Tamandua tetradactyla: one gene and its partners. The protein of the gene in region 3 purifies or fractionates together with the protein of the main gene of each other region. This does not show direct contact. Links are inferred from orthologs where the notes say so. Each region holds a gene or a part of one and is shown on either strand. Other genes may lie near its edges. The genes, in order: ARID4B, ING2, SINHCAF and SAP30.

Region 1 (7,885 bases), about 89 Mb from region 3:
GTCTTCTCCATTGTTTTTAAACTTCAAAGCTGACCTTTTAAAAAGGAGAAACATAACCAAATCATCTTTCAGTGTCAAAATGCAAAGGAACATGTATTCTTGAAAAAAGGTATTATTGAAAAAGTAGACTTTCAGTTTGGTTTTAAAAGAAAATTAGAAATGGATGAACCTTGAAAACATAATGCTAAGTGGAAGGAGCCAGGCATATAACATCGTAAATTGCATGATTCTACTTATATGAAATGTTCAGAATAGGCAAATCTATAGAGAAAGAAAGTAGATTAGCAGTTACCTAAAATTAGATTTTGGTGATGGCTGCACACATTATGAATAATGTACCTTTTAAATGAGTGAACTGTATGGCACAAAAATTATATCTCAATTAAAAAAATTCTTCATTCAAGTGATTACATTGTTGTAACGGTACAGCTAGTTTTTAAGTGGTTTCCTTAGGTATATACTTATATTAAGCCTTTCCTATTGTAATCACAGTGAAAAGCTTAAATTGTTTCCATCAAATAAATGCCAACACAAATTCACAGAATTAGGCTATCTCTACATCTCACTGATTACATAAATTAGTAAACACACTTTTTTTTTCAGTCATGACTATTAACATGGATATATGCCTTGTATATTTAAAATTAAAGGGGGAAAAAAACTTGTATTTCTCTACAATCAATTCACTTCAGATATTCTGATTTGAGATATGCATTAACTTGAATGCAGTCATATTTATTAAAAATATCCCCCTGTGGGAAATTATTCTCTAGTGATCCTATTATTCTCTAGCATCACTAGCTCTCTCCTAATCAACTTTCTTAGCCGCACTAAAGATACAATAATACAAGATTAAATGCAATATTGTATCTAATGGCAGTTCATGATTAGAGTTGCAATCACAGAATTTGGAATTGGAAGGTACCTGAAGAGAGTTCTCTCACAATAAGCTAGGCGATAATAAGGCGTAAGGGTATATTTACTTTATTTTTTTGAATAATGGAAACGAAGTTGAATTTATATTTTGACCACTCAAAGGTCTTTTTTCTAATTCACTAAACTTAGGAAGGAACCTTCATTTTTAATTGCACCTTACTTGATTCTGATGGAGTTTCTTAAGAAAGCATATTAGTTACACAACTAAAGGGGTGTGGTGGTGTTTTATTTACTGTAAGATTCAGGGGTGTTCTTCAATTTCTAAATTAGCTGTAGTAACTTCATAATGTTAGTACTAAAACTCATCTTTCACAGCCTAGTCATCTCACACGATGAGCTCTTCATCCACTCTCATAGACTAGGCTATTCCAGTAGTTTCTCCTTACTAGCATCAAATTTAAAAGTATAAAATATACTTAGGGAAGCAGAACTTGTCTAATACCTTAATCCATGAAATATGAGAGTCTTCACATATATTACAGTAAATAAACATTGTTGATTCATACTCATGCCACTAAGCAAATCTGAAAATCTTGAAGTAAACATAGTGACATCTCATTATTGGTAAACTAATATTTTTTTCACCAGCACAATGAAGAACTCAGTAGAGCTGAGTCTACCCTAAGTGGTGAGAATCAGGTATTTAATATTTATTGTGAGCTACTGATTTAAGGGAAAAAGGGTTATGTCACATCAATTTTATCATGTACTTCTTTTTCCACTGGAGTGTAAGATGTGTAACATGTAAACAGAAGAAAAGAATAAAACTACATTTTCTATGTCCTGTTAGGCAGATGGTAGGCATGTGTTCAAGTTGGTTGAATGAATACACACGGATTATCATCAACTAAGTGTTTTGGTGCTTCCATGTAGTATGATGCATCTCATTGGTGAGAGAAAGCTTTTGAGAATCTGATAAAAGCTATGAATTTTAAACAAAAACTAAACAAAAAACCCCAGCTTATAAGTGAATATGCCCTCACCTAGATACATGCAGACCCATAAAATGCTACATATAATTTTTTAGGAATCATATAGGCCCTGAATCCTTTACATGTATCTCAGATTAAAATCCCCAGCTATAGAATAAATATCCTTACTCTTTAATACCAAATAAACAAATATTCATGTTTGTATAATGACAAATTAAAAAATAAATTCTACTGGCTTAACTCTTTATTGGAGGGAGATTACAAATGGACATTAAAGCATGAAAATGGTTAAAGTTCAGGTTACTTTTTGGTACTGAAAAAACTGTATTTTTTATCATCCACTCTATGAGTACCCTTGTGAAACAATCATAAAAAACAGCACTCCAACAATGGAAATCTTTCAGCAATCTGAATGCAAAGATAAACATTTTTGTCGAGAGCAAAAATCATGTCCGTATCTTTGACACAAACTTTGCGACACTTAAAAATCATCAAAGCCAAGTTTCAAGAATGCTCTTTTGTTTGTCTGGTTCAATAAAAGGTACAAAGTGTTGCAAGGAAATGTGAGATAACCTTTGCTTCCATTCTTAGAGCTTTGGCTGATGTTATCTCTCAATTTAAACATTAATTATGAATTAAAAAATATCCCTTTTGCTCAGAGAAATATGAGAATTCCCACTTAGCAACTTAGCCAATTAGTAGTCATTTATTTATCACTGCTAGAGATTTTATATTACACAAAGTAAAGAGGCATTATTAATGTGTTATATGATCTCTACTATTTCAGGGTGAATACCTACAGAATGCCTACATGAGATAGTGTGAAACTACTCCACTTTCAAAACGGAAAAACTACCTTAAATTTGTTCAAAGAGTGGGTCAATAAACAGGAATGCAAATGTACCTTGTCTAGCAGTTAGTACAAACTATGTCATAAGGGAAAAAATTCAGGAAATAATCCAAATTTATTACATGTACTGTTTACCAGCTAACTGCAACTCTGATATAGGTTACCTAATTCTTAGAGATTAAAGAAAGAAAAGAAGATGCAAATTTTCTTAAATAGAATAATTGCCTAGGTAAAACATTATTATTGGACAGAATTGAAGATAGAATAGTAAAAGCATCTCTTACACACGTCTCTAATTATTTAAAAGTTAGTAAAAGTTAGTAGCCATCTCTTCCCAACTAGGTTGAGAGCAAAAATCATGTCTGTATCTTTGACACAAACTTTGTGACACTTAAAAATCATCAAAGCCAAGTTTCAAGAATGCTCTTTTGTTTGTCTGGTTCAATAAAAGGTACAAAGTGTTGCAATGAAATGTGAGATAAACTTTGCTTCCATTCTTAGAGCTTTGGCTGATGTTATCTCTCAATTTAAACATTAATTATGAATAAAAAAATATCCATTTTGCTCAGAGAGATACGAGAATTCCCACTTAGCAACTTAGCCAATTAATAGTTATTTATCACAGCTAGAAATTTTATATTACACAAAGTAAAGAGGCATTATTAATGTGTTATATGATCTCTACTATTTCAGGGTGAATACCTACAGAATGCCTACATGAGATAGTGTGAAACTACTCCACTTTCAAAACGGAAAAACTGCCTTAAATTTGTTCCAAGAGTGGGTCAATAAACAGGAATGCAAACAACAGATTTTCTTTTCCGTGTGGATGGATTATTACCGCAATATCCTCCTTGTCTGGCTTCTCTGCATTCACTCCTGTAATTTATCACTTAACTCTCACTGCTCTTTGCGAAATTTAAATCTGGTTCTATCACCCTTCGGACTGAGAATTCTTCAACGATATTTCACTGCTTTTAGAGTAAGAATAAAACTTGTCAACAAGCCCTGTAAGATTCGGCTCCCCGCTCACCTCTCCAACCTCAATTCTTCATCCTGACACAAGGCTTTCCAACATGCTATCCTACTCCTCCTTAACCTGAAGTCAATCCTCACTTTGTCGGGAAAGCCTTTCCTTACCACCGCGTAACTCTTCAGGGTAGCACCTACCACAGTTGTCATTTTAACCGATTCGTGTGTCTATTTTGTTTAATTTCAGTCTCACTAGACTTGGTTCCTGAGGGGAAGAACCATACTGTTTTTCCCACGTGGTAGGAGCTCAAAAATATGTGAAGGGTTGAATGAATGTAATAGCGGAAGTACCTTCCAACGCAGTACAGAAGTACATCAGAGGAAAACTTTGCGCATAAAAAGTGAAACTATCATGCTAAGTATTTTTTTTTTAATGGAAGGTTCTGGTTTCAAAATTGCTTAGTAGAGACATACAAATGTGATGTGAAGCGTAGATGTGAAGCGCTGAGTGAATCCTTCCATTCAAACTCCGGGGGATCATGCGTCTGAAGAAAACTGTCCTGAGATACAGGGAGGGTAGTTAAATAACTTTGAGGCAGATTTTCAACAAAGGTTTAATAAAGGAAATTCAAATGTTTACTCTGCCTAGCACAGACTCCCAAGTGACCGGGAGGTTTCTGCTTCCTCCTAGGCTCAAATGCCCCTTTCCGCCCCACTTCATCACTTAACCCTCCTCCCGCCCCCTCGACCCTCGCAAACCCGCGGATGGAAAATTAATACACAATCCGGTTCAGCATCCGGGTCCTCACTCTCTTTTCTTTCTTTCCTCTCGGTTCCCCGCCTCCCACCCTTCCCCGCCCTCCTCACCATCCGGGTCCCCCCAGCCACCGCCACTGCCGCTCACAGTTCAACGATGATATCACGACTTCCCCGTTGCCGGTCCGGTAACAGTAGAACTGAGCGTCAACTTCCCACTTTATAGTTCAGACCAAAGCTCCTCCCGGTGACCACATATATCCCTCCCCCTACTTCGCCACAGAATTCTCCGCCCTCCTCGGTGGCCAGCAACACCGCATTACTCGGTGCAAGAAAATGCGCCATCCCGGTCACACTGCGCAGGCGTCGTAGCCGCCTCCCCCCCACTGCTTTGTCGCCCCCGCCCCCTTTCCCCTCCCCCCGCCTTAGGCGGGCGCGGGGCATTGCGGATCTTGTAGTTCTCAACGGCAAGCGGTTTGCGCATTGGCCTCCTAGACTGGACTACATTCCCCGTGAAGCTTTGAGGCATAACTTTCTGTTTCCATAGAACTAGTGGGAAAATGGCGTCTGTGTTTGTATCCGAGGGGCCAATAAGAACAGGATATAGGTGGGTTCCAAAGAATTCTAACCAATCCAAGGTCGTCTAAGAGGCCATCCGGGAACGAGGTAGGGGAGGGGGAAAAATCTAGGGGAGGGGAGAAAGGAGGGAAGGGGGGGTTGGGGGGGTAAGCGATGTTTGCCCGTCAGTCGAGTCCGGAGTGAGGAGCTTGGGTGCCGTAGCGGAGGGAGACTCTCAGCTGAAGCTTGCCGCCGCCACGGCCATCGCCTGGGCCTCTGCCCGGAGGGAGCCTCAGAGGGTCTATCGTTGCCGTCCTCTGGAGGGCAGAGCGTTTGGGGGCCCGGACCTCCAGTCCGGGAGTGATTTTTGTCGTTCCCCCTCCCCCCAACGAGGGAGCCTGAGCGGCCGCCAAACAAAGGTACCAGTCGCCGCCGCGGGAGGAGGAGGAGCCGGAGCCTCAGCTTCAGCAACCGCTGGACCCGCCGTCCTTCTTCCCCCATCTCTCCCCCGGGCCTACTGGTTTTGGGGGAGGAGGGGAGGGGATTCTGGACGTGCCAGGGTCAGATCTGGCCTCCGAGGAAGGTAGGGACATTTTCTGGGTCTTTTGCAGTCCCCTAAGGGAGTCTTTTTGGGAGTCCCTGCGTTTTGCTGTGGAGCAGGGGGTAGATGGCTGTTGTGGTCTCTCCACCGGGCGCCCGAATTCGGGGCCTTGTCCTCCCGGGAGGCCCACCTTCTCCCCTACTGCAGTTTCCGAATGGAGTCCGAATCGCCCCTTGACCGAGCGGTCGCAGACTCAGCGGTTTAGCGGCCCTTGGCCGCGGTGGGGGGCCCAGGCAGGAATTGGGGGGCGCTGCCTAAGGTCCTCGCTGCCACACGGCCTTTCCGTTTTCTCCCGTCCCTGCAGCGTGGGGCCAAGTGTAAATTCTCTCCTACTTCTCAGGGTCTCTGGCCTCGAAACGGGACTTGGACAGAGGCTCTGCGGGGGGAGACGGTCCTGCTTGCAGCCCTTCCGGCCGGTCTGACTCTCTCCTGCGCCCCTGCTGGGTCGATTCCTGGAGACTGGGCCGGGCTGCCGCTTGGACGCGGGGTGCTGCGCGGCGCTTCGGGAGAGGACCAGCTCGGCTGGGCGAGAAAGAGCGGTGGGGAGGGTGACCGATTCCGTGTCGGACTCCGGGCTTGTTGTGAGTTTCTTCTCTGACAGAAATGGCGTCATTGTCGGAGACGGGAAACTCCGTCGGGTCCCGACAATGGGGACCGGGAGCTACCGAGCTGTGTAGTTGGCTGGGTTTGCGGGGATAGGGAGGCCAGAGGAGTCCCCGAATCCTTGTTTAATCGTTAGGGGGCTGACGCCCTCTCCGGCGCTTTAATCGGTGTTCAGAGGTTTCACTGGTTCCTTTCCGCCTCCGCCAGTGAACAGGGGGTGCCTGTGGGGTTGACTGGGTGCTTTTTTGTTTCCACTCCAGGTGCAGGTGAATCTGGTGTTATCGGGGGGCTTGTGGCCCCGGAGTCATCATGAAGGTAAGATTGCCTGCAGAAAACGAACCTCTGGTGTTAGAGAATTCAGAAAGGTAGGGTATTTGACTGAGGTCGTTGTGTGGGGCTTCCCTGAGTTTTGAAGAGAAAGGTGTGTTTGGTGCCGTGGTCCCCGAACTCTTGCCTGGGTAACGATGGGGGTCAACTGGTAGGAAATCTACAGCTCAGGGACTCTGCTGCCAGATAGGATACTCGGGGCCTGTGTCTTTTTGAGTTGGAGTCCGAATATCTCATTGAGCATCACCCTACCATATAGAGCGCTTCATTTTGCCGGTAAAAATAGGAAACTGCATGAATTAAAATGCTTTGAAAGGTAAAACTGAAAGAGCAGATTAAGTAATCTGACTCTAAATGCTGAACTGTGTTGTGGTTCTATCGGTTACATTGATGAAAGAAAATCTCTTATTGTGTGAACAGTATTGTAAATTTTTAGCAGAAAATCTATTTGATTAAACACAAAGATGAGCTTCTTTGGAAGTTTTTTCAAGAAAATTATGGTAATCTTTACACAGTTTAGAGATAGCAGTTCTCTTAATTTCCAGGGATTTAGAGTTATATGGTTTGTTTTTGAATTTTGATCTTTTGGTCTGCAAATTTTCAGCTGCTGTGTTACATTGTGATGTGTGATAAGCTGATGGCCAGGTTTCTCTTAAATTTAAGCATGGCAACTGAATGCAGGATAGTTATCTGAGAGGCCCAATTTGCTTAATGGTATAAGAACACACAGCTTTTTTCAATTTAGAAAATACGTAATTGAATGCTGTTTAGTTTTTTAATGCATTCTGAAGTAAAAAGCTTTAGATATGTGAATTGTCTATATTCAACTGGTGGCACTTAAAGACTAGCATATTCTATATTTTCATCCAGTACAAATTCAGAAGTGCTTGAAAAGTGTGTTCCCTGATAAAGAAATGGAACAGATAGTATAGTATGCTGAAGTGTAAATATCTACTTTTGTCAGTGCCTTTGAACTATTTTAAAAAAACTTTATTCCACTTCTCTTCAAAATCGATACTGCTTTTAAAGTACTGCATCCGGATTAAAATTTGTAATACTTGCTTGTGTTTATGGAAGAAAGTAAAAGCTGTGGCAACTTAAACATTTATCTCCTATACAAGAGTGGGTTTAGTTCATTTTTTTCTAGGCTTTTCTTCTTGAGTTTGGGGCGCTGTAAACTCTTATATGAAATAGTTCTTACCTATGAATTTCCATCTTACTCTTATTTAAATGAAAAAAAAAAAGACAAAACCAAAAAACCAGTAATGTTTCCGAAATGAATCCTTTTCTAGTCACAAACTCTAGCTCTAGGAATACCCTTTGTCTTCCTTACTGTTGTGTTGAATAATA
Region 2 (7,325 bases), on a different chromosome or scaffold from region 3:
ATTTGTAATATGAACAAAGAGCACAAAAGTACACAACTTTAGTAAACAAAACTGTGAAAGATGAGCTTAGTAAGCATGTACATGGAGTAAAAATTGGATTGTTGTTTTTACATTAATCTTGAAATTAGTCACTTGCATGAACAATTTCAACGGAGTTGACGATTATTATAATCTGTCAATCTTGCAAGGTCTACTACAATTTTTTATGTTACCAGAGATACATATGATAATTTTAGATGGTCAAGAATGCCCATTTCGTGTTAGTGAATTATAGTATCCTTCCCAACTTCAAATGAACAGAAAACAACTTTTATGAAGACAAACATGTACCTTTAAAGAAATGTAAAAATCTGCAAGCTTAACAAACTACAGGCTTATTATTATTGGAAAAACTAAAAATGTTCAATACACAATTCTTAAATACATATGTTTTTAAGCTACTATTTTCAGGCTACCAATCCTGTATATGTTCCATGCTTGTAGCCCTTCGAATGCTTTTATATAAAGAGTGAAAAAAAGTTTAAATAGCTTAAAAAACAAAGACACACCTGAAGGAGCAGGTTCTGGGGTCAAATATTCCCCACCTAATTACCTGGGCAGGTTACTTAAACATCTTGTTAGTTTTATCAAATGTAAAACGAGAAAACTTCCATTTTTCTTCATAGAGTCATTGCAACGATAAATGAGATGTTCTGGACTTGGGGCGGTGACTGGCAGATTTTAAACGGTCAGTATTAATTCCTTTCCCCACTAACAAAGACTAGTCCTAGCGACAACATGGGCTCAGAAGGCAGAAATAAAACATGGAGACACCTGAATGTTCTAACATGCCACAAGCCAGGAAATGTCACCGTAGAGGCGTGACGCTTAGAGACTAAATCATAGGATTAGTGATGTGTCTAGAAAAACACAGAAAGCATGCAATACGTTATGCTGAAAGTCGTTATGGCTGTTTCCACATAATGTCCACTGCCTGTTACTTGATTCAGGGTTAAATTAAGTGCATAACGACTCCCCTTTTAAACTGCTTCCCTCCTAGGAGCAGGCAAAAATATCAACCAATAGTGGAAGAAAAAACGATACTCTGAGTGAGAAAGTCTAATTCTCTGGTCCTAGCTTCTTGTGTCGACCACAAAGGGCGGTTTTCGTCTCATCCCATAAACTTAGCGCAGGAGACACCCAGGGGTGAAGGGACGCCAGGCGGTTGCCCAGTCAACCAACCCGCTTCCTCCTGGGCCCGGAAGTGACGCAAGGCCCAGAATCAACGCGGTGGCCAGGGCTAGCTACGGTCGCAGCAGTTGATTGTGCCCCCGCTGTGATTCAGTAGTTGGAAAGAAGAATCGAAAAATAACACCAACATTGACTGCTAGGGCTGAACTAATGTCCCACATTGCCCCGACCCCCTCCCTAACAGCAGCTCTCTCCCAACCCTCCCACAACCAGCCATTTTCGAGGCCGGCGGGAACGCGCGCGTCCGCGCCCCTCCCACACCTACGTCACGCCCAAGCCCCGCCTCCAGGGACTGGGGGCCCTCCTCGCCACACACACACACCCCTCTTCCTTTCCCCACGGGGGACCCCTCCCCTTTTAACCACTCGTCCGTAGGAGCTAGGAAAAGGCTGCGGCCCGGAACTTTCTCAGGGACGGGGAGAAGGGAGCGACTCCTCAAACCCGGAGCCGGGAGCCAAAGAGCGGCGGGAGGGACCTCACTGGAGTCCGCCTTCACGGCCCTCTCTCGCCCCCTCCCCCCCCGCACGTTCCAATGCATCTGCTCTCAGGGGGTGGGGGCCCGAGGAGGGTGGGGAAAGCCAGGCCCCGGAGACCAGCGGGAGCCCGGCGGCGACTGGCCGCCTCTGCCTAGACTCCCTCGCGGGGCAGGCGGGTCTGCGGCACGGGGCGAACAAGCGTCAGGACAAATGCTTGCTGCTTAAAATGGCTGATTCCCTTCCACAGCAGCTGCAGCCGCTGGGTGTGCAGTGGGTGCTGACAAGCGGCAGCCCCCCGCCTAGAGACCCCACAGAAGACCTTGCCGATCGCAGCGGGGGAAGGGAGGGCCACGAACACGGTCTCCAGTCCCTCTCCCCCGTCCCATACACCAGACTCCATCTGTGCACTCGAGGAGACTGTCACAAGAGAAGGGAAAAGTGGGCAGCCTCCAAGAGCTCGCTCGCGGAGGCCAGCGGATCCCGGTTGGCGGGGGAGGACCCCCACGAGCAGCCCCGTGATTCCCTACCTTGATATTTGTTATCCAGCTCTCGCAGAACAGACACGTTCCTCTGCATGTCGTGAGGCAGCGACTCCACACACTCGAGGTAGTCCTGCACGTAGCAGGTGAGGAGCCGGCTCCGCTCCCCGGTCAGAAGCGCGGCGGACGAGTACAGTTGCTGCTGCTGCCCTAACATCCTGCCGCCGCTGCTGCTCCTCGCCGCCGCCGCCGCCGCCGCCTCCGCATCCAGCAACCACACTTGCAACAGCCACGGACGCCGCGGCTCCTGTGCTCAGCAGCCCGGCACCGCGGGGACACCGGCAGCCACTCAGGAGGGCACAGCCGAGTCCCCCGATCTTCACTCCCCCAAAGAGAAGCCCTCACTCCCCGCCCCCGCGGTAACAAATCCAGGGGCGGGGCGAGGTCAGTGCCTCCTCCTTTCACCCCTCCCTCCCCAGGACTGGAGCAGCGGGGATCCCCCCAGCGGAGCTGGCGCCGGGGTCCCAGGCGTTGACACTTCCTGTTTCCCTCCGAGTCTCCAGATGCTACCGATGCCGCCTCGTAGCTCGGATCCCCATGACAAGCCTCTCGCTGCCCCCTTTTCTCCCAATCACCCTCCGTGCCTGTCGGAGAGTCTCTCACTGGACTGCTCCCGCCCCTCCTCCTGCGGCCGCCTCTGCGCCTGCGCAGGACTCACTCCTAATAAGGCCGGGGTCCGCCCCTACCGCCCTACCGAAGGGTTCGCATTCTCCCGCCTTCCCTCCGCCACTCGGGCGATTGGTCTGTCAACTCTAGGCTTGGGGGGAGGGTGCGGAGGACGGCCAAACGGCAAGCTGCGCCCCGCCCCCTCTTAAAGGGGAAGCACTGTCAAGCCCGGCTCTTCGCCCAATGTCTGAATGGAACCTGAAAGGGAAAGTGGCTGACTTCTTTCTTCTGTCCTTCCCACAGGAAGAGGGAAACTTGGCCCAACTCATTCGACTCGGTGCTACCGACTTTCTTGCCATTAGGTGGATCTAGCGCTGCCCCTCTGGAGCCTTATAAGGAACAGCAGGCGGTCGCTTTTCGCTACGCCCTGGAGTGAGGCCTGTGGGAACTACGCGACCCAGCGTGCAGCGGGGTGCGGCTCCCGGCATGCGCTGTGGCTGTGCCTCAGCCGCCGCCGTCGCCGTAGCCCGCCGCTCGGTTGCCAGTCGCGGTGCTGCCGCCTCAGCGGTTGCCTCAGCGGTTACCTCACGGTTCCCTCTTCCTCCCTCCGTGGCCCTCGGGCTCAAGGAGCAACCCGGGCTAGCAGGGAGGTAGGCGGTGCCCCCCTCGGCCCCCTGCGTTTTCTTTACGTCCGCGCGATTTTTAAATCTCCCTTAGAGGGCGTGCTTCCGCCCTTCCTCAGACGCTAGAGGTTTCCCGGCTTCGAGGTGCCTTGCAGGTTTTGTCCCTTCCCTTTTCCAGAAACCCACTATTTAAATTTGGGGGGAAGGGATGCTGGACTGAGTCTGCCCTGGAAAAGTTTTTGTCTAACAGACAACCTTTGAGAACAAATAAAAAGAAACCATTTTCGGGTTCAGAATGTTTAAGCCTTGAACGTCGGCGTGGGCAAACTGGCGGAGTGGGAGGGGACACCGCCACCTTCCCGTCTCTTTTTACCCTAGAACTAACAAACACGGCGGGGGGGGGGGGGACGGAGATGGGAATGAAAGCATTATTCCGGAATCATGCTCACAGCCTTATGTAGGAGGTATACTCGGGTTTAATTTCTGTATAGTGTCTGTTGCGTAAAGTGCCAAGCAAGAGAGCTAATTTTAAGTACGAATGTCCTCTCAGTGTATATAACAACGTGTTTTTTTTAAAGAAATGGGTGTAAATAGAACGAATACACGGAGAATTTTAATGGAATGCCTATGTAAATAAACCGTATTGTGAGTAGTACCTTTGAGGAAATATTAGTGCGTGGTAAGTTTGGATTATCTTATATCCAGTTTGTTTGCAGCCAGTGGTACAACTGTATTATGACCTATTTAGAGGACTTTATTATTATTATTATTATTATTTTCTTTCAGTTCCAAACAACATAGTCCTAAGATTAAAGTTTGAATTGAGTGCCAAGAATAAGAATTACGTTCACATAGTTTGAATATGAAAATTTGTAAATATGCAGCCAGTGAGAAGTCTTCCCTTCTTTCGAGCACTTTTGAAACAGCTATTAATACTAAGTAACCGTGAAATGCTAGAGTCCCTAAATGCAAAGAGAAGTCTAGAGAAAAACTTACATTTCAAACCAGAACAGAGCACGCCAGGGAATTTGACGTTTTGGGAACAACTGAAATATTGCAAAGGACCCAGGGATTGTTCTATGTTATTATCCTGTGATACTTTGAAGTTTTGACCTCTTGAATATTACCACAATTTTCATCCAGGCATTCCACTGTGACTGGAAACAGTCTTGGGATTTTATTGTTGTCATCTTTAATCTTTCAAATTAAGCAGCCACCTCTTGCCAAAACACAGTTGTTGGTAGGAATTGAATTTTACCGTTTTTTACCTTCACCTAATATTTTTATTTGTTCACAAGTTTGCATCAGCTAGTATTTCTTGAAGGCTCCCAAATAATGCATGATGCCATGTTATTTATTAGTTAGATACCAGATTTATCTATGAGATTTTATTCATTCTGGCAGGTGGTCACAGGAAGATGTGGCAAAGGGTTATTAGAAACTAGAAATGAGAAAAGGCAATAATGCAGGAAACCCCTCCAGGAACCTAGAGCAAATTGAGAGGAAAGGTTGAGAATGGATTGGGAGAACTTTTATGGCATTATTTTCTCCTTTCATAATTCATTTGTACAGTTTGATAAGAAGCAAAAATTAATTATTTTTCAAATTGTTTTGGTCTAAACCTAAGGCACACTCTAGTATGGTAATATATATGTATATTTGTGTGCATGAGTTATTTCAGTTATGTACCTTTGTTGCTATATTTATAAAGGTTAATCAAAAGCTTATTCCTGCTGTACTTTTGAAAGGAGCCTTTGTGGGAGAGTAGTTACACAGAATAAAAAAATCACCATACTCCCCAAATTCCATACTTCACTTTGGTTAATTATGAATGTCTCTTTTCTGCTTTGTAGTCACTTAACTGGAAATTTGGGGTCTTTTTAGAATGGGTCTCCTTATCCTCTGCTAAATGTAAGATTTAAAAATCCCTAATTCTCCAATATAGAAGATAGTCTATGAATAAAGCAAAGAGGCAACTTACTCTTCATTGTATTTTCCCCCACAAACAACTCTAAAAAGACAAGTATCTAATGCTTCCAGGTTAGTAGAAGTGTATGGGGATTAACTTTAATTTCTGAATCAGTCTTAAATCAGCCTTTGGCCTCCAAGACTCTAACCTTTGAGATGTTTGTCCCTGGTAGAAAGTGTGCCTCCAAAGCTATCTAATATAGCTCTTATTTATGCTGTGAGAGGCCTGAGCAACAACTTCACACTCTGACTGAAAACAACTAACAAGTAATTCTGAAAGATTCCCCAAATGTTTACTGTGATGTGTTCTGAGAAAATTCAACTTTTGTTTGAGTCAGGTCAATTAAATTTGAAATCCTTTTCTTTTTTTTCTCCTTTTAATATTATTAAGCTCTTCATTATGGAAAATTCGAAACATCAAAGTAGAAATATTAGTACAGTAAATCCTGATATACTAGGCATCCAGCTTGAACAGTGACCAACATATGGCCAGAATTATCTTTAAATGCTTTAAATATAAACAGAGATGAGATTTTAAAAACTATATCACAATACCGTTATGCCAACTAAAACAATTTCTTAGTATCAGTATTCAGATAATTCAGAGTTCCCCATTTTCTTGTACTTAGTTCGTTGAACAGGACTCAAGTAAGTTCTACACGTTGCATTTGATTAATGAAGTTTTTTTTTTAAACCAATTAGAGGTAGTTAATTCACTATGTGATTCAGAGAAGCAGATAGCAGTGCCCTTCTATTCTAGTTTGCTAGCTGCCAGAATGCTATATACCAGAAACGGAATGGCTTCTAAAAGGGGGATTTAATAAGGTGTTAGTTTACGGTTCTAAGGCTGAGAAAATGTCCCAATTAAAACAAGTCTATAGAAATGTTCAATCTAAGCCATCCAGGAAGATTCCTTGGTTCAAGAAGGCCAATGAAGTTCAGGGTGTCTCTCTCAGGTGGAAGGGCAAATGGCGAACACAGTCAGAGTTTCTCTCTCACCTGCTTTATTGCATAAGTCCAACACAGGAATTGTAGAAAAAATTGTAGAAAAAAGAAATAAAATTTAAAAATATAAAAATCTCTATAAGCTGGAGAAACTCTTCTCAGCCTCTCAGTTTACTACTAATCTAATTTACAATTAGATTAATATCTGTTTTAGCAATTATTTTGCTTTCCAGGAATCATTTAAGACCAAAGGACAGTGTTAAGAAAATGCTAGATTCTCTAGATAGTATAAATCTGAGCAATTTCAGCCTATACTTGTAGTTTATATGGTAGAGAACACAAAAGTTGGTGAATACAGCCAATTCAGTCAATTCTGCTACTTCAGGTTACAGGATGACTACTAGCATCAAAAGATGGTCCTACTATCAGGAGATAGAAATAGGATAAGATATTGGGTAATTGGAACTGAAGAGATACAGATTGTGCAACAGGACTGAATGTAAAAACGCAGAAATGGACAGCACAATACTACCTAACTGGAATATAATTATGTTAAAACACTGAATGAAGCTGAATGTGAGAATGATAAAGGGAGGAGGGCTGGGGGCACAAATGAAATTAGAAAGAAAGATAGACGATAAAGATTGAGATGGTATAATGTAGGAATGCCTAGAGTGTATAATGATAGTGACTAAATGTACAAATTTTAAAAATGTTTTGCATGAGGAAGAACAAAGGAATGTCATTACTGCAGGGTACTGAAAATAGACGGTAATTAGTATTTTAAAACTTCAACTTATGTGTGAGACTAAAGCAAAAAAAAATGTGTATTTGGTACAAAATTTATATTTTGACTAGTGCATTTCCTAATATAATTTATGTAGATAGCTTAATTAACACCACAAGTACATGGAACCTTGAATAGGACATGAGATTTT
Region 3 (7,471 bases):
GTTTGGTGTTTTTTAAGCATTTTAAATACATGACTCGGAGAAATAACTATGCCCAAAAGAAAGCCAGAAAATTATCAAAATCCAAAGTTTTCAATTTTCCTGACACGTTCTCTTTCTAACCACTTCAGAAATGTAAGTGCTAATATTAGTTGCCTTTTGGTATTTGTTAACTGGGGCAACCAAAACTTGGGAGATGTGTCTATTTACTAAGACAACCATGAAAAGGCACAAAATGGATTTCAACTTGTATGGATTGTGTTTTAGTGTTGGGGTATACGGCATTTAAGGAGAGCTACATTATTTTCTAGTAATGGCCACTTTTAGATTTCAATCTTTAACCATAATTCAAATAAAGAGTAAATCAGGAAAGAAACAGCAAATACGATGCTGCTTATTGGATGTCTAGACTGCAAGCAAACCCCAAATACCAAAAAAGCATCCATGTGTCAAACCAGCATAATTTTTGAGCTATGCCTAGGGCTACATACCAAAAAAAAAGTTAGCTTGAAAAGTTAGGAGGGGTAACCAGAGGGTCAACTCCAGTTCACAGGAACTAAGAAGTTACCACAGTTAGCTAGCCATTACCCCGTGTCGTCCCCAGAAGCAGCTTCCAAGCCCCTACGTGATCATTTCTTCAAGGTCATCCTAAAATAATGCAGCGAATAATGCCTAAACATTGAGTCGGACATATCTTTAGGGCAAAGATCCCCCTTCCCGGAATCATTATACAAATTCTTTAAATGCCATGAGGTTTTTCTCGAAATTCACCAGAACCAAATTTCAGTCTTTAATTTACACGGGGCAACCAAATGTTCAATTTTGCAACATAAATTAACAGAAGGATTTGCCAAAAGTCTGGCAAAAACAGGTGCTTTCAGTGTACTTTTAATGACGAGGTCATATTGATTTTTTTAATTATTAAAAAAAGGGGGGAAATCGCGTTTTCTTAACCTTCTTTAGGACAGCGTTGGGGGGGCGGGGTAAATACAGCGGCCTTGGACAGGGTCCACGTTTGGTTTAGTCGTAATTCCTAATCATCGAGTACTGGAGTAATCGAAGGTTAGACGGCAGAGGGAGAAAATAAAAACAAAGAAACCGACTGGGGTCATAGTTACCAGAACAAACTGCTCCGCCCTACCACCCCAAGTGAAACCAAAAACCCCCCAACCAAAAGAATCCTTCCCCCTCCCGCTTCCCCCTCCCACACGCAAACACACAAAGACAACAACGGCACGCACAATTCGGCCACAGTCCTCACTTCCCCTTCTTAGCGACAGCGGGAGCCCCGAAACTTCCCCACGGTGGTTTTCGGGTGCCGTCGGGACTGGGTCCCCACGACTTGCGAGCTACATCTCGGCGGGGCTGGGGAGGTGCTCGCGGGTTTCCCCGAAAGCAGCAAAGCGCCTCCTCCCCCGTCTTCTCAAGACCCTCGGGTCCCCCCCCCAAACTGTTCTTTCCCCCTCCGACAGGCGGGGACGGCCTGGGGACACCAAGCCAGCAAAGACAAACGCTCCCTGGTGAATTTGTTGGTAAATAAAACATCTTGTGTCGAGAAGAAAGTTCCTCTCGAGGGCCGCTCGCCAGAGCGAGGGCAGCGGGAGGTGAACCGCGTCCTCCCCTCCTCCCTCACCTGCGCCGGAACAACGGGGCCCTCGCGCGCGCCCGCCCGCCCGCCCCCTGGGCCCGGCGCCTCCCGCAGGCCGCGACTCCCGCACGCCGCGCTGCCGGGGCTTGTTCCTCCTCATGGCTTTGCCCTGACGTAATTCAAACATGGCAACAGTTCGACTTCAAAGGCGAATCCACAGACCTCCCAGACGCAGGCTCCCGGCCCAAGGGTAACGGGGCCGAGAACTCCGGCCACGCTCTCTCGGCCGCTGCGGCCCCCAGCGCTGGGGCGGGGGAGGAAGCGCCGGAGGCGCCCGTCTGCCTCGCCCACCCGCCCGCTCAGAACGGGTTAGCACGCCGCCTCCCCGCGCACCAGCATGGCACCTCATACAAGTAGCGCAGCCAAAGTTTCCCCACGAGGGGCTGAGGGACAAAAGCCAACCCCTCTCCGAAACTCGCAAGAACTTGGGTGGGCCCCGAGCCGGGCGGCCCTCAGTCCCGGCGGGGCTCGCACGGGCACATGCAGCCCTTTGTTTTCTGTCCAGCCGGGCGCTGCCTACGTGCAGCATCGGGGATGTCGGATTGTTCCTCAGGGGCAAGGCACTTGGCGATCACCGAGAGGAAGGGTCCGGACGCCGAACCCCGAGAGCCAGGAGTCCTGTCCTCCGGTCCTTCTCGGAAGCGGGCCGATTCAATTCAAGTTTTTCCAATGTCCTTGATAAGAAAGCCCGAATTACCCTCCCCGCTCAAGCGGATAGTTGGCGACTTTCACTCTGCTTTTTAAACTGGCAAGACGCCATCACCAGCAAATTACATTGTCTTGCCGATCGGACCTACCCGACAGCGACTGCATCTCAAGGCTACCAGGAAGCTGGACCTTCAGCCAGACCTCCGCCTAAAACGCGGGTCGCGGCACGTGGTCTGTCATGTTTAATACAAAAAAGCGATGCCCTTCGGAGTTCACTCACTCCTTCCGCGCGGACAACGCCACTGCCTCCATCCCCAAGTCAACTTCGCTGCAACTGGCCATCTTAAACCGCAGATGGTGGCCCTAGAAAACCCTCACCATAGCGCCCACATCGACGCTACAGGTGAATAAATAGGTTTAATAAAACTTCAGGCTCCAAAGAAGCCTCGGACACCAAAGCTCCATGGGCGCGGTCCGCGGAGGCAGGCGTGGGGAGCTGGGGCTGTTTTAAGCGGCCGCGTGTTGCTCTCATTGTCGCATCCGCATCCCTCCGGAGTTGAGCAAACAACGCCACGCCGCGTGCACTCGGGCAAATCCCAGCACTTTCCCAAAAAGGCCGATTTAAACCCCCTCAGGGCCGCCAGCTGTAAAGTCGATAACAACTTAGTTTTCGAGCGAATGGCATTTACTGTCCATCTTAAACAAAACACGCGTGAGGGGCTGTAATAAACTGAACCATGAGGTTTAACATTTAACAACGGCGTCCGGCCGTGACCGGGGCTCGCGCCCACGCGGATGCACGGACCCAGGGTCGCTCGGCAATTGCCAGCAAGTCGCTTTTCTCTTGGGCCTTTCAGCCACGGGGTTCCTTTTAGCCAGAGAACACTGCAGCTGAGAAAAGTCATTGTCACCTTCAGCGTGGATCCCTCAACTCCAGCAACTCCTCAATTATTTTCAAGCTCCACTCACTTCCCCCACCCCAAGACTTTCGGTCTGCTTCAAATACCCCATCCCCCAAATTAAAAATACAAACTAAACATGTGTATACAAAAGAATGTGGCGTCTGAAGAACACGAAAACAGCGCTCCAGCAATATCATCTCCAAGACAAAACTTCCTGTTGGGGGGGGGGGGTGAGGGAAACGACCAGGGAGGTGAGTGAGGTGAAAAGAAAAAACCTGAAATCAAAGCCTCATGAAGCAGTTTTGCACCAGAGTGATGCTTAGAATCACTCACCTTCCAAAAGCAGCCGTTCCACGCGCAATAACGTTCCCGAGGTGCGGAGTGCACACCAGGCCAGCCCCCCTCCGATCAGTCCCTCCTCCTCAACTGCCTTGTCTAGAAAGATTGTCTCCTGCAGTTCTGCAGTTGCTACCGCTGGTCGGGAAGGTGTAGATTCCGCTTTCCCTCTGCGCACGCGCGGCTCCCGGTGCAAGATTCTCTTGAATCGAACTTATTTGCATGCGGGCACGAGCGCGTCGAGGGCTGGGGAGGGGAAAAGGCCTGGCGGCCGCGCGCGCTCCCGAGGCCTCTATTGTCCTTTTAAGGGGAGAAGCGCCGCGGCGCGGGAAACGCGGCGGCCAGAGGGAAGCGGGGGCGGGGACTGCTTACTACGGCGGACGTCACATAAACAAACGCCCCCTGGCTGGAGGCGGCGGCCGAGAGTGAGTGCCGGGATGGGAAAGGCGGAAAGGTTAGCAACCAAGGGAGTAGATTCGATTGCGTGAGATGCTTTCCACCCTGAAGTTCGTAAGGCACACCATTTCGCGTTGAAAAAATTTTCGAAAGCTGTTTTTACCAAATTTTCACACCTGTACCCAGTTTCTCGCCTGAGATGAGGGGAGGTTAAGCACTCGGACTGAATTTATTCTTCTTCCCCGTCTCCTAAATTTTATTGAAACTTGAGTTTTTGTAGCTTAAAAATAAATTCTTCGGGGCCAGCAGATGTTACTGTACCTGCAATTTTAATCAGTCGTTTAACAAAGTCCTATTTTGACACCCTATACGTTCACTTAACTTCACTCGCCCTACTCAAATAGTACCCTACCCATCATGATCCAACTTTTTTCCCAACACTTCGGCCTTAAGATTTCAAACCAGTCCTAACTGAATGGTTGTTAATTTCCATGGGAACAGTGCCCTTTCTCAAAAGACTAGTCAGTAGTCTAGGGACATGCATATATATCTCCTCCAGCTACTTATAGAGTATTCCACTCACCCAGAAATAGTACCACTAACCTGGTCTTGGGAATTGAAAAAGTGGCGAAGAAAGTGCGGGACTTTTCCTTGTGGAATTTATAATAAACCAACACTCTAAACAGTTCTAGCCTCAGGGAAATAAAAGTAGCATTTCTCAAATTGACAAGTGAAAAAAAATTTAAATAAAGGTTGCGATACACCTTTATCCCGAGGACATACCTAGCACCAGCAGGCAGACAGTTTGGTTTGATAATGGAGGGAGGTTGAAGAGAGATAAGGATGTTTTTCCCAGATCCACAAGCTACAAAAGTGTGAAAACAGCCAAAAAACTTAATTATCTGCTGACAAATTTCTCTGTTTTCACTCTAATGTCAACAGTGGATTTAAATAGATACAAAGCATCTGAAAATCTAATTTAATTCAACAGCCAGTTCCTAGTACATTCTTACAATGCGGACTTCTGAAGTCTTCAACTAATGCTTTTTTTTTTAAAAAGTTCTGTAGCAGGCTATTCCTATGGCTGTATATGAAAACTACTTTTTTAAATATCCGTGAAGGGGGATGGCATCTCTTTCTAAAATGTGAACTCCTTAAAGGCAGGGATTTCATATCTTATACTTTTAAGTGCCTAAAACAGTGTACAGTAGATAACAGATTCTGAATAATTGTTTGACAAATAATACATCAGTGGTTTAAATTTATTGTAAATCTATTTCAAGTTAAAACAGCTTTACTTTAGTTTATAATTTTGTATTTGACCTATAATGAAATTGGAGAATATGGTGATCACCTTGATTCATATGACGCCATTCCTGTCCTTATAATACATAATCCTGAATAGCCTTAATAAGTCTTTATGGGCTTTCATTGGTGCAAATTGAATCCCAAACTTGAATCTCTATGTTGTTTTTCAGAGAATTTAGAAAGTTGTCCTGAGTTGTCTCAAATATTTATTTGTTTATAATAGATCCTCCAAAAATATTTTAAAATTATTATATGCCTTTCAAGATGTGAAAATTGTAAGCATCATCATATTGTTAAACTTCAGTTACTGCTTACAATAAATATAAAAGTGTAGCTAGAATGAGAAGTATCCAATATCAATCAGATATTTCTATATATGTGAGGTACTAAGAATATGAAAGATGAAGATTCTAAGCTTCCATTAACTTCATATAAAGACATTTTATATCTTAGAAAAATTATTTAAGGTTAGAAGGGAAATATTTCTTTAAAACTTAGAAGATAAAGAAATGTAAAATCAAACAAGTGATTGTCATGATTAGAGCTAGTAGTCATCTCTGAATACACCAAAGAATTAAGTAACATAAAACTCAAATCCTTGGAGTCACCACATCGCTGATATAGCAACTGCAGATGTGTGCGTCACATCAAGGTTTCTGAGAAGAATCTGGACATCAGTCAGAAGACAAATCTCTGGACATAGGTAATCTCAGTTAAGAGGGAAGATAACTGTCTAATTTAAGGGAGTTCACATTTTTTTTATTTTTGTGAATATTACAATGAAGTCTGTGTATATTTGGTATTTTCTGTACTTGTAATGTTTATAAGAAATTGACCTATTAGAGTAACAGCCTTGTGATTCCAAAGTAAAATGTATAATTGAAAAAAACAAAAGTATAGCTAGAATGCTTTTTCTCTTGGAAATTTATATAAAGAATATATATGGTAATCCAAGGATGGAATAGGTTCAAAATGTGCATGCATTGCAGGAATTGTAGTATTCCTGTTCAGATAAGAAATATCTGGACGTTCTGAACTACTGGACTAATTTCACACAGCAAGACTTCCTCTGCTCTCAAAGAGGTCAAGCAGTATTTCAGGTAATTTTTGTATGAAAGTCAGAAACAAAGCTCAAAGAGAAATCTGGATTCTTTAGAATCTTTTTTTTTCTCTAACAACCACCTGCTATTTTTGAACAACCAGGTGCATTCCAAAGGTTCTTTTGTTCATTTTGTTGCTTGAACATGCTGTTATGGCTGGCCCTATCCAGAGCCAATAGTTCATTTATAGGTTACTTAAAAATACTATTATATAAATAGCCCAAGTGAATTTTCGTTATTTAAAAAAAATGGAAAGAAAAGTAATTTATACCATGTAAATAAACTGGATTATAATAAATTGAATTTCACCATGCTAGAAAAATATCTGAGTATTTTTTAAATGAAAGTAGTGCTTTGTGAATTCATAATGAGTTCTCAAAGACATTGAAATTGAAAATATAGCTGTGTAGCCACATACTCTAACCACACCAGCTACCTTGCTTATTACATATTGTCCCACTGTAGAATTACTTCTAATGCTTGAATATTTCCATTCATTTAGTAAAAATTTAATGACAGTGAAACCCTTTTGCCCTAGAGAAGCTCAAGCCACCACACTTCTTCTAATTTCTTTCTGTGTAATTCTACTTGTATGTTGTTTTTTTCCCATAGAATTTACCGCCTTCTTTTGAGAGTTTAATTGCTGCCAGCAACTTTACAATTATTATAATATCCTTGAAATGGCGGAAAAATTATATGAAAGTCTGAAAAGCACAATTCTTATTTAGTAATGAGGGATAATATCAGCAATTTAGTGATGTATTTAATAATGATTGCTTTTAAAATGAAGTCTGATATCCTGTTTGTTATTATTAATCATTGGGTTTCATTCCTTAAAAGGTACTAGCTATAAGACTAAACCAAGAGCTCTTTTTCTCACAGCAAAACAAGTACAATATTTTGTTACCTCTTTGTTTAAATCCTTTTGAAATTCTAATAAGTGGTCAGAGCAAATCAGATAACTTTACACTATAAGGTACGTAATTGGTTATGCAATCTAAGAGACCCCAATCCTCCAACAACCGTTGACAGCTGCCAGGAAAACAGGGTATATATTACTGAATCAAAACTACTTTTCAAATTTCTGAACTTAAAGACTTAAAGAATTGTCACAAGCTCATTCTTAAAAGAGTTAC
Region 4 (7,635 bases), on a different chromosome or scaffold from region 3:
GTTTCAGAGCTTATCTGGTATTGGAACAATCCAGAGTATCTAAGTCTCTGAAAAACGAACTTAATAAGTAAAACTTTTATAGAGCCCAGGGTATCCTTTAAAGTTTCCAGGAATATTGTTGGTTGGAGCTTGCTATACTGTGGTAGTTTGCAATATCTGGCTGAAACGTCCATAGGAGTAACCTCCAGAATGACTTCTCACAACTCAATTTGAAATCTCTTAAGTCACAGAGACTTTATTTCTTTACCTCCTTTTGGTGAACCCATCCCATGATGCCATGGCCAGGCTCATCCCCTGGGAGTCATGTTCTGTGTTGCCAGGGCCAGGCTTATCCCTGAGTGTCATGTCCCACATTGCCAGGGAGACTTACACCCCTGGAATTCATGTCTCACGTCTGGGGTGGGGGGGAGGGGCAGTGGTCAGAATTTGGCTGAGGAAGAGGGACATTTGAGCTACACAAGAGATTTTCTGCTGATGACTCTTAGACATTAATTATAAGTAGGCTCAGCTTTGCCATTACAGAAATAAGTTTCATAAGGGTAAAAAAAAACCAAGGCTTTTCTGGGGTACATAATGGTTTCAAACCAGCACAAGTAACATATAAAAAAATGAAATTACACCTCTATCTTCCACCAACACACAAAAAATCCATCATAATGCTAAATGGGAATGGCAAAACAGTGAAGCATTTAGAATATACTGTTGGAAAATATCTTCATGACTTTGAATAAGGAATTATTTAAGTCACAAAAATCATCAGCCCTATATAAAAAGGTATAATTTTTTCAACATTAAAACAAAGACTTATTTAACTGAAAGTTGTCACTATAGAGTCAAAAAGCAAGCTATAGAGTAGGAAAAGACATTTGAAATATGTAAAATTGGCAAAGGGCTCATTAAGGATATATAAAGTACTAATACAAATTGACAGAAATAGATGCACACCCAATAGATAAAATAGACAGAAAATCTGAATAGAAACTTCCTGAAGAAAACCATATGGGCTACTATGAGGCAGTTTAATATGAGGTGAATGGATTAGGCTTCAGAGTCCCTCACTTGGACAAGCCATTCAAAAGGCCTAATTTTATATTTATAATTTTACATGCTTTTTCAAATTGTACAAACTTGAGGCCCTCAAACACCTGATTCCAGTCTTAACCGTGAATTACACTTAAAGCAAGGAGTTCTTACCTGTCCTGCATATGGAAATCTGTAAAAATAAATAATGAACTATGGTTATGTAAATTTCTTTGAACAAATAGACTCACTGAAGATGTACTTTAAATCTGGCAATGTCACCAACTCCTGGAATCCTTTCTACTTGCCGGAGATTAATCATTCCCTCCTGTGTGCTACATCTATATTTCTCTAGTTTTATTGAGGCATTTAGCATGCTTTTTTGAAATGTGCTTGTTAAGCAGCCTGCCTCCCAGCAAGCTCCAAAATAGCTATGAACCTCTCTCAATTATTTTATTCCCAGGGCCTAGGAAAGATCATAGTATGCAATAAATATTAAATTGGATCTTTTTATTTTTGCTTTTTTAAAACTTATTTTTTATTGATATATATTCACATACCACGTAATCATCCAACGTGTACAATGGTTCACAATATCATCATATACCTGTGCGTTTATCATCACATTCGATTTTTTGTGTGTGAAAAATAACATATATATATATATATATATATATATATATATATATATATAAGCAATAGATTTCAAAGCACATCATAACAATTAGTTATTGAACAGATTTCAGAGTTTAGTATGGGTTACAATTCCACATTTTTAGGTTTTTACTACTAGCTGCTCCAAGACACTGGAGACACTGGAGATTAAAAGAAATATCAATGATTCAGCAATCACACTCATTTGTTAAACCTTACCTTGTCTGTGTAACTCCACCATCCCTTTGATCTTTCTCCCACTCTTTAGGGGTATTTGGGCTATGCCCATTCTAACTTGTTCATGTTGGAAGGGGCTGTTGGTAATATGGGATGGGGGATAAAACCAGTTGATGTTCTGGAGAGGCTGGCCCCTCTGCTTTTCAGGACTTTTCTGGTCCAGGGACCATCTGGAGGTTGTAGGTTTCTGGAAAGTTACCCTAGTGCACAGAACCTTTGTAGAATCTTATATTACACTCTAGGGGTTCTTTAGGATTGACAGGAATAGTTTTGGTTGGGGGTTGGCAAGCTATGATAAGTAGCAATGTCTAACTGAAGCGTGTGTAAGAGTGACCACCGGAGTAGCCTCTCAACTATTTGAAGTCTCTCAGCCACTGATACCTTATTTGCTGCACTTCTTTTCCCCTTTTTGGTCAGGATGGCGTTGTTGATCCCAAGGTGCCAGGGCCAGGCTCATCCTTAAGAGTCATCTCCTATGCTGTGAGGGAGACTTTCACCCCTGAATGTCATGTAATTGGATCTCTTTTAAAACACTTTATTTTGGGTAAAGGAGGCAAAGCCACAATTCTTCACTGAATGTTTTATATAATTGATACATAACTAAACACAGATAAGTGAATTAATTTAGTCGAATTTTGAAGGAAAGGGATAGGCGCAAGAACCAAACAGTAACAAATAAAAATACAAAGATAAATTTGAAAATTCAACATTCCACTATCATGCTTTCTTCAGATTTTTTTTTTCATAAATAAAAACTTACAAATACAGCAGAAACCAGTTTTAAGCCATTCACTTGGCCTGCCTCCCAAGAGGTGACCAACACCCTGAAGTTGGGGTGTGTCCATCCTACATATGTTCTCATTTTTACCATTTAAGAAAATATATCCATAAATAACATCCAGCATGATTGTTTTTACTCTAAGACAGCGTTCTCTAATAAAAATATGCGAGCCACAAACGTAATTTTAAATTTTCTAGCAGCCACATTAAAAAACATGTAAAATTAATTTTAATATTTCATTTAACCCAGTAAACCCAAAATATCATTTCAACATAGAATCAATATAAAAAAGGTATTTATAAGCTGTTCAACATTTTTTTGGTACTAAGTTTTGAAATACCATCTGCAACTTGTACTTAGAGCACATCTCAATTCCGATGCTAAATTTAGATTTCATAAAACTTGAGTTGAACAAAGATTCAAATAGTCAAGTTGTCACAAACATATTTAAGTTTTTTCCCAAAAGTGAATCGAGTTAAAAAATAATTATAAAACTATTGCAGTCGCAGTAAGGACATTTCAAGTGCTCAGTACCCGCACAGGGCTGGCGGCCACCCCATCGGACAGTACAGCTTAAAAAGACAACATATCGTACTTCGCATGCATCTATCTACATTTTACCTGCTCAACTTATTTAATATTTTAATTTTGTTTTTTCCTTTGCCAGATCCTAGAACTAGATGCACAGGTGGAAACGATGGCTTTGAATTTCAGCGCAGATGGCATTTTACACTTTATTTTTTAATGGTCTCTCACTAAATTTACAAGAACATTCCAAAAACCTACTAGCCAAAATACAGTATTTCTATTCGAACATTAGAACTGTTTAACAATGAGACTGTTTATGTACTGATTTTTAAAAACGATGAGCTGTTTAAGTTATTGCAAAGCTGAAGCTTTCCTATTAGGAAAAGCTTTCCTATTAGGAAGCTCCCCATCCTTCTGCTCCGCCCCGCAGAAGCACACGCGACACGCGCACAGGCACACGCGGTCACTCCGCACCGCAGGCGCACAGGCACACTCGGGCACACAGGCACACGCGGTCACTCCGCACCGTAGGCGCACAGGCACACTCGGGCTCACAGGCACACGCGGTCACTCCGCACCGCAGGCGCACAGGCACAGACGGTCACTCCCGCACCGCAGTCGCACGCGCGACCCAGCAAGCGCGGCTCCACTTCGCCCCGCTGGCGGAGCCGGGTGCCGCGCCTCGAGCGCACAGCTGGCCTGGCCCAGGTGACAGCTCCACGCCTCCCGGGAAAAGGTACTGGACTCCGCCTCTCGCCACAGCCCCGGGAGGAGACTGCGCGCCCGGGAACGGAGCGCGTTCCCTGCAGGAACAGGCAAAGGTGTGGAAACGGTGCTCGGCTGCGGCGTTTGCGAGGACACCTGCTAGGGTCAAAGGTCGGGTGGGTGCGCTCCACGGGGCGCTTCAGCGCGCGAACAGACGGGGCTGCCATCCAGTCGGGGTGTGAGCTGCGGGACTTCCACGCCGCTCGAGCTTTTGGTTTGGGTTTCCAACAAAAGCGTGGTCACACCATAAACTCTTTTTCCACAGCGACCAGAGAGGCACCTAAAGCGTTCGTTCACACACTCTACCCACTTCCTCTCCTCCTTTCTTTCTTTGTCTGAAGAGTCGGTTGCCGCTTGGTCTGAATACACCAAGTCTGCGAAATTCCAGGAGCTAACCACAACTTAACTTCTTAGAGACTACAGAAGAGCAAACACCATCATTCCCAGCCACACCATCCTGCGAGCCCCGGCCGGTACTGAAAAGAGAGGAAAAGTCAGTGGGCTTCCTAGACCGACCCCTCGCCGCGCGATGCATGCTAGGATAGGTAGTTTTCCAACCTTCCGGGCTCAGGCTGACCCTGCACAGAGAACTACAATTCCCGGGGTGCATTGCGGCAGACGGGAAGGGCGGCACGGTGTTTATCACACTACGCTTGCGCGATCCGAGGGCCGACGAGAGGCGGGGAGAGGTGGAGGCGCCGCGGTCTAACTATTCAAGAGTCTCTAGGTGACAGTGAGCGCCGTCGCCACTGCGCACCCCTCGGGCTCTGGGTCCAGACCCTGGGCACCGTCCACTGCCGCGGAGCAGCACACGTCGGCACGGTGCCGCCACCGGACTCGGGGTGCGGACGGCATCGCTGCCGCGTGGCAGGTGCCTGAGGGACCCGGCCGCGACCCCAGTGTCGCGGAGGCGCAGCGGCCAGGCGAGCGCGGATTCTGCCGGCGGGACATGAACGGCTTCACGCCTGAGGAGATGAGCCGCGGCGGGGACGCGGCCGCCGCAGTGGCCGCCGTAGTGGCCGCCGCCGCCTCGGCCGGGAGCGGAGCCGGGGCGGGCGCCGGGGCAGAGGTGTCCGGAGCGGGGGCCGTCTCGGCGGCAGGTCCCCCGGGCGCGGCCGGGCCGGGCCCCGGGCAGCTGTGCTGTCTGCGGGAGGACGGCGAGCGGTGCGGCCGGGCGGCGGGCAACGCCAGCTTCAGCAAGAGGATCCAGAAGAGCATCTCCCAGAAGAAGGTGAAGATCGAGCTGGACAAGAGCGTAAGTGCCGGCCGGACGGCCTTGCCGCCTCCGCGGGGCTCCGGGATCCGGGCAAAGACGGGGGGCAGGACCCGCCCCGGACCTGCTGCCGTGCGGGCCCGTGCTGGGGTCCCTGGTGAGACGCGCACCGCCAGGTCGCCGCAACTCGGACGCCCGCCCCCTCCGCGGCCTCCTCCCCCTTCCTCCCGGTCGTGGGACGCGGAACAAAGGGAGCCGCTCGGAGGGCGAGGAGGGGACTCCCGGGGCCCGTCCGCGGGTCTGGGTGGAGGCGCCTTTGTGCTGTCCGAGCCGGCGCGCTGGGCCCCGGACCTCGCACCCCGCGGGCGGGGCGGTGCTTCCCGGGCCCGGTCGGGTTCTCCCGGGCCAGCCCCGCCTTGTAGGGCGCGGGCTGGGAGCGGCGTCGGCCCTAGGGCGGCGCGTGGCCGTGCGGCTCCGCTGCGCCGGTCGCCCGCGGGCAGCCCTCCCGCCGGCCCCTCTCCCAGGCGCGGGCCGCAGCCGCGGCCCCTCTTCCGAGCTCGGGCTGGCCGCGGTGAATGTGATGTCAGGACGTAGCGCGCGGCCTTCCTGTTTTTGAACTTGCGTTTAGGTCGGAAATAAATTTTAAAGTGCATTTTCTTTAACGGGTCAACCTATGAATCCCTGTGTTTCATATTTGTTACTCCAACTCTCGAGATTATGTCATTAAAAGTTTTTGAAAAGTTAATTTGCGATACTTCTCACATGTTTAAGCAGTTCTTTAGTCGTGTTAGATAATTTTTTAGGTGAACTTGGATAATTTCAGATTGTTTCCATTGGCAAAACGTGTTACAGATAAAGACATTCATTTAAAACTCAGAAGAAACCTCTGAGTTTTGATGACAAAACCCAGAGGGTTGGGCTTTCTCTTTCTCCTCTCCCCTCCCTCCTTTCCCCACGGGCGCCCCCCGCCCTTCCCCCTCCATCCTGTTAACCGGATTACCAATTTTGTCGGACCTGGTATGTTTTAATAGGATGAGTGCGGGAATAAGAATGGAAACAGGCTGTATTCTTGACAATGCCCTGTTTTGACTGTTGTGTTTATTTTTAATAGTTCACCGTGACCCATGTATTTCAGTAATAGATAGACACTACATTTTGTCGTAATCATAAGCAGCCTGTAAAACTTTTCTGTTTCAGGCAAGGCATCTCTACATTTGCGATTATCATAAAAACTTAATTCAGAGTGTTCGAAACAGAAGAAAGAGAAAAGGGAGTGATGACGATGGAGGTGATTCACCTGTTCAAGATATTGATACCCCAGAGGTAGATGAACATTTTTATATGTTAAATGTGTATCCTAAATAATTCATTCTTAAACTTTTATAGAAAAGATTTGAGCACATTTTTAAAGTGGTTAAAGAATTTGAGAAATCTGAAAATGAAAGCAAAATTAAATACAGCCAGTTAACATACAGTTACACAGTGTGACTTGTTATATTTCAGTTGACAATTATTGCATCTCTATTGTCTTATAATTTTTTTTGTGCCCCAGTTTTTAATGTATTTATCCCCGAAAGTGTTTAATACATTTATAGGTGTTTTGATAATGGAATTACATTAGACGTACCAGTGATATTTCAGTAGTTTGAATGAACTAATTTATATACCTTACTTCTTTCTAGGTCGATTTATACCAATTACAAGTAAATACACTTAGGAGATACAAAAGACACTTCAAGCTACCAACCAGACCAGGACTTAACAAAGCACAGCTTGTTGAGGTATATGAATTTTTAACTATTTAGACTTTAAGTGAGCCTGTTCCCACCAATTATATGCTAATGAACTAGTTAACATAATAATTAACATAGTGATATAACAATACATCACTTTTTTGTAATGACTACTCAGTGAACTGTGTGCGATTTTCTTTGCTTCTTCTAATACTGGCTTTAAGAAATACTGAATGTTAATTTTCTGTCCTCATTCTAAAATTTGTTAGTTTTAAAGTTCCATTCACTCAGTGAACATTTATTGAGCACCTGATCAAGGCATAATAAAATAAATTAATAAGCTCTAATGTCTTTGTCAGTATTTGTTTTGGGGGGTTTCTGGTGACATATGTTTATAGAAGAACCCCATACAGTATGCACATAAGTTGCTGATTTAACTGTTTCAGAATTTGTCTTTGTTGATGTTAGTTTGCTTTGGTTGAGACATCCATGTTTTCTTTATATCTTGAAGAGGCAAAGATTAAACCCTTTTTACTTTATGCAAGTTTTTTTATACAGGGTTTTACTAACAGTTTGTCTTGATATAGGACTTTTATTGGATTTAGTCCTTTAATGAGTTTTGAAAAGTTGACTGAGTGTGTGCATTCTCGGGAAATAATAGAACCAAGAAATCTGTGCATTATATTAAGATGTTTATAGATGTA

What was found.
Region 1: the proteins of SINHCAF (region 3) and ARID4B purify together in Homo sapiens (affinity purification with mass spectrometry; 3 studies listed by BioGRID and IntAct, counting the BioPlex papers as one, with this or other methods). This does not show direct contact. The link is inferred for Tamandua tetradactyla from reciprocal best matches to the Homo sapiens genes SINHCAF and ARID4B.
Region 2: the proteins of SINHCAF (region 3) and ING2 purify together in Homo sapiens (affinity purification with mass spectrometry; 3 studies listed by BioGRID and IntAct, counting the BioPlex papers as one, with this or other methods). This does not show direct contact. The link is inferred for Tamandua tetradactyla from reciprocal best matches to the Homo sapiens genes SINHCAF and ING2.
Region 4: the proteins of SINHCAF (region 3) and SAP30 purify together in Homo sapiens (affinity purification with mass spectrometry; 4 studies listed by BioGRID and IntAct, counting the BioPlex papers as one, with this or other methods). This does not show direct contact. The link is inferred for Tamandua tetradactyla from reciprocal best matches to the Homo sapiens genes SINHCAF and SAP30.

The regions. Positions count from the first base shown.
Region 1 is NC_135333.1:5,592,676-5,600,560, reverse strand, and holds the start of ARID4B (AT-rich interactive domain-containing protein 4B), read left to right. Parts: upstream 1-4,877; 5' UTR 4,878-5,053; exon of another isoform or gene 5,054-5,112; intron 5,113-5,164; exon of another isoform or gene 5,165-5,587; intron 5,588-6,468; 5' UTR 6,469-6,517; coding exon of another isoform or gene 6,518-6,523; 5' UTR 6,524-7,885. Other genes in the region: GGPS1 (geranylgeranyl pyrophosphate synthase), read right to left, coding at 1-11. UniProt on the Homo sapiens protein: Acts as a transcriptional repressor. May function in the assembly and/or enzymatic activity of the Sin3A corepressor complex or in mediating interactions between the complex and other regulatory complexes.
Region 2 is NC_135352.1:29,357,279-29,364,603, forward strand, and holds the start of ING2 (inhibitor of growth protein 2), read right to left. Parts: upstream 3,013-7,325; 5' UTR 2,946-3,012; coding exon of another isoform or gene 2,749-2,945; 5' UTR 2,403-2,748; coding exon 2,234-2,402; intron 1,391-2,233; exon of another isoform or gene 549-1,390; intron 1-548. Other genes in the region: uncharacterized protein LOC143669889, read left to right, coding at 2,749-2,945, 3,155-3,287. UniProt on the Homo sapiens protein: Seems to be involved in p53/TP53 activation and p53/TP53-dependent apoptotic pathways, probably by enhancing acetylation of p53/TP53. Component of a mSin3A-like corepressor complex, which is probably involved in deacetylation of nucleosomal histones.
Region 3 is NC_135333.1:94,268,202-94,275,672, forward strand, and holds the start of SINHCAF (SIN3-HDAC complex-associated factor), read right to left. Parts: upstream 3,003-7,471; 5' UTR 2,459-3,002; coding exon 2,443-2,458; intron 1,917-2,442; exon of another isoform or gene 1,808-1,916; intron 1-1,807. UniProt on the Homo sapiens protein: Subunit of the Sin3 deacetylase complex (Sin3/HDAC), this subunit is important for the repression of genes encoding components of the TGF-beta signaling pathway.
Region 4 is NC_135352.1:39,728,271-39,735,905, reverse strand, and holds the start of SAP30 (histone deacetylase complex subunit SAP30), read left to right. Parts: upstream 1-4,626; 5' UTR 4,627-4,934; coding exon 4,935-5,240; intron 5,241-6,395; coding exon 6,396-6,521; intron 6,522-6,880; coding exon 6,881-6,979; intron 6,980-7,635. UniProt on the Homo sapiens protein: Involved in the functional recruitment of the Sin3-histone deacetylase complex (HDAC) to a specific subset of N-CoR corepressor complexes. Capable of transcription repression by N-CoR.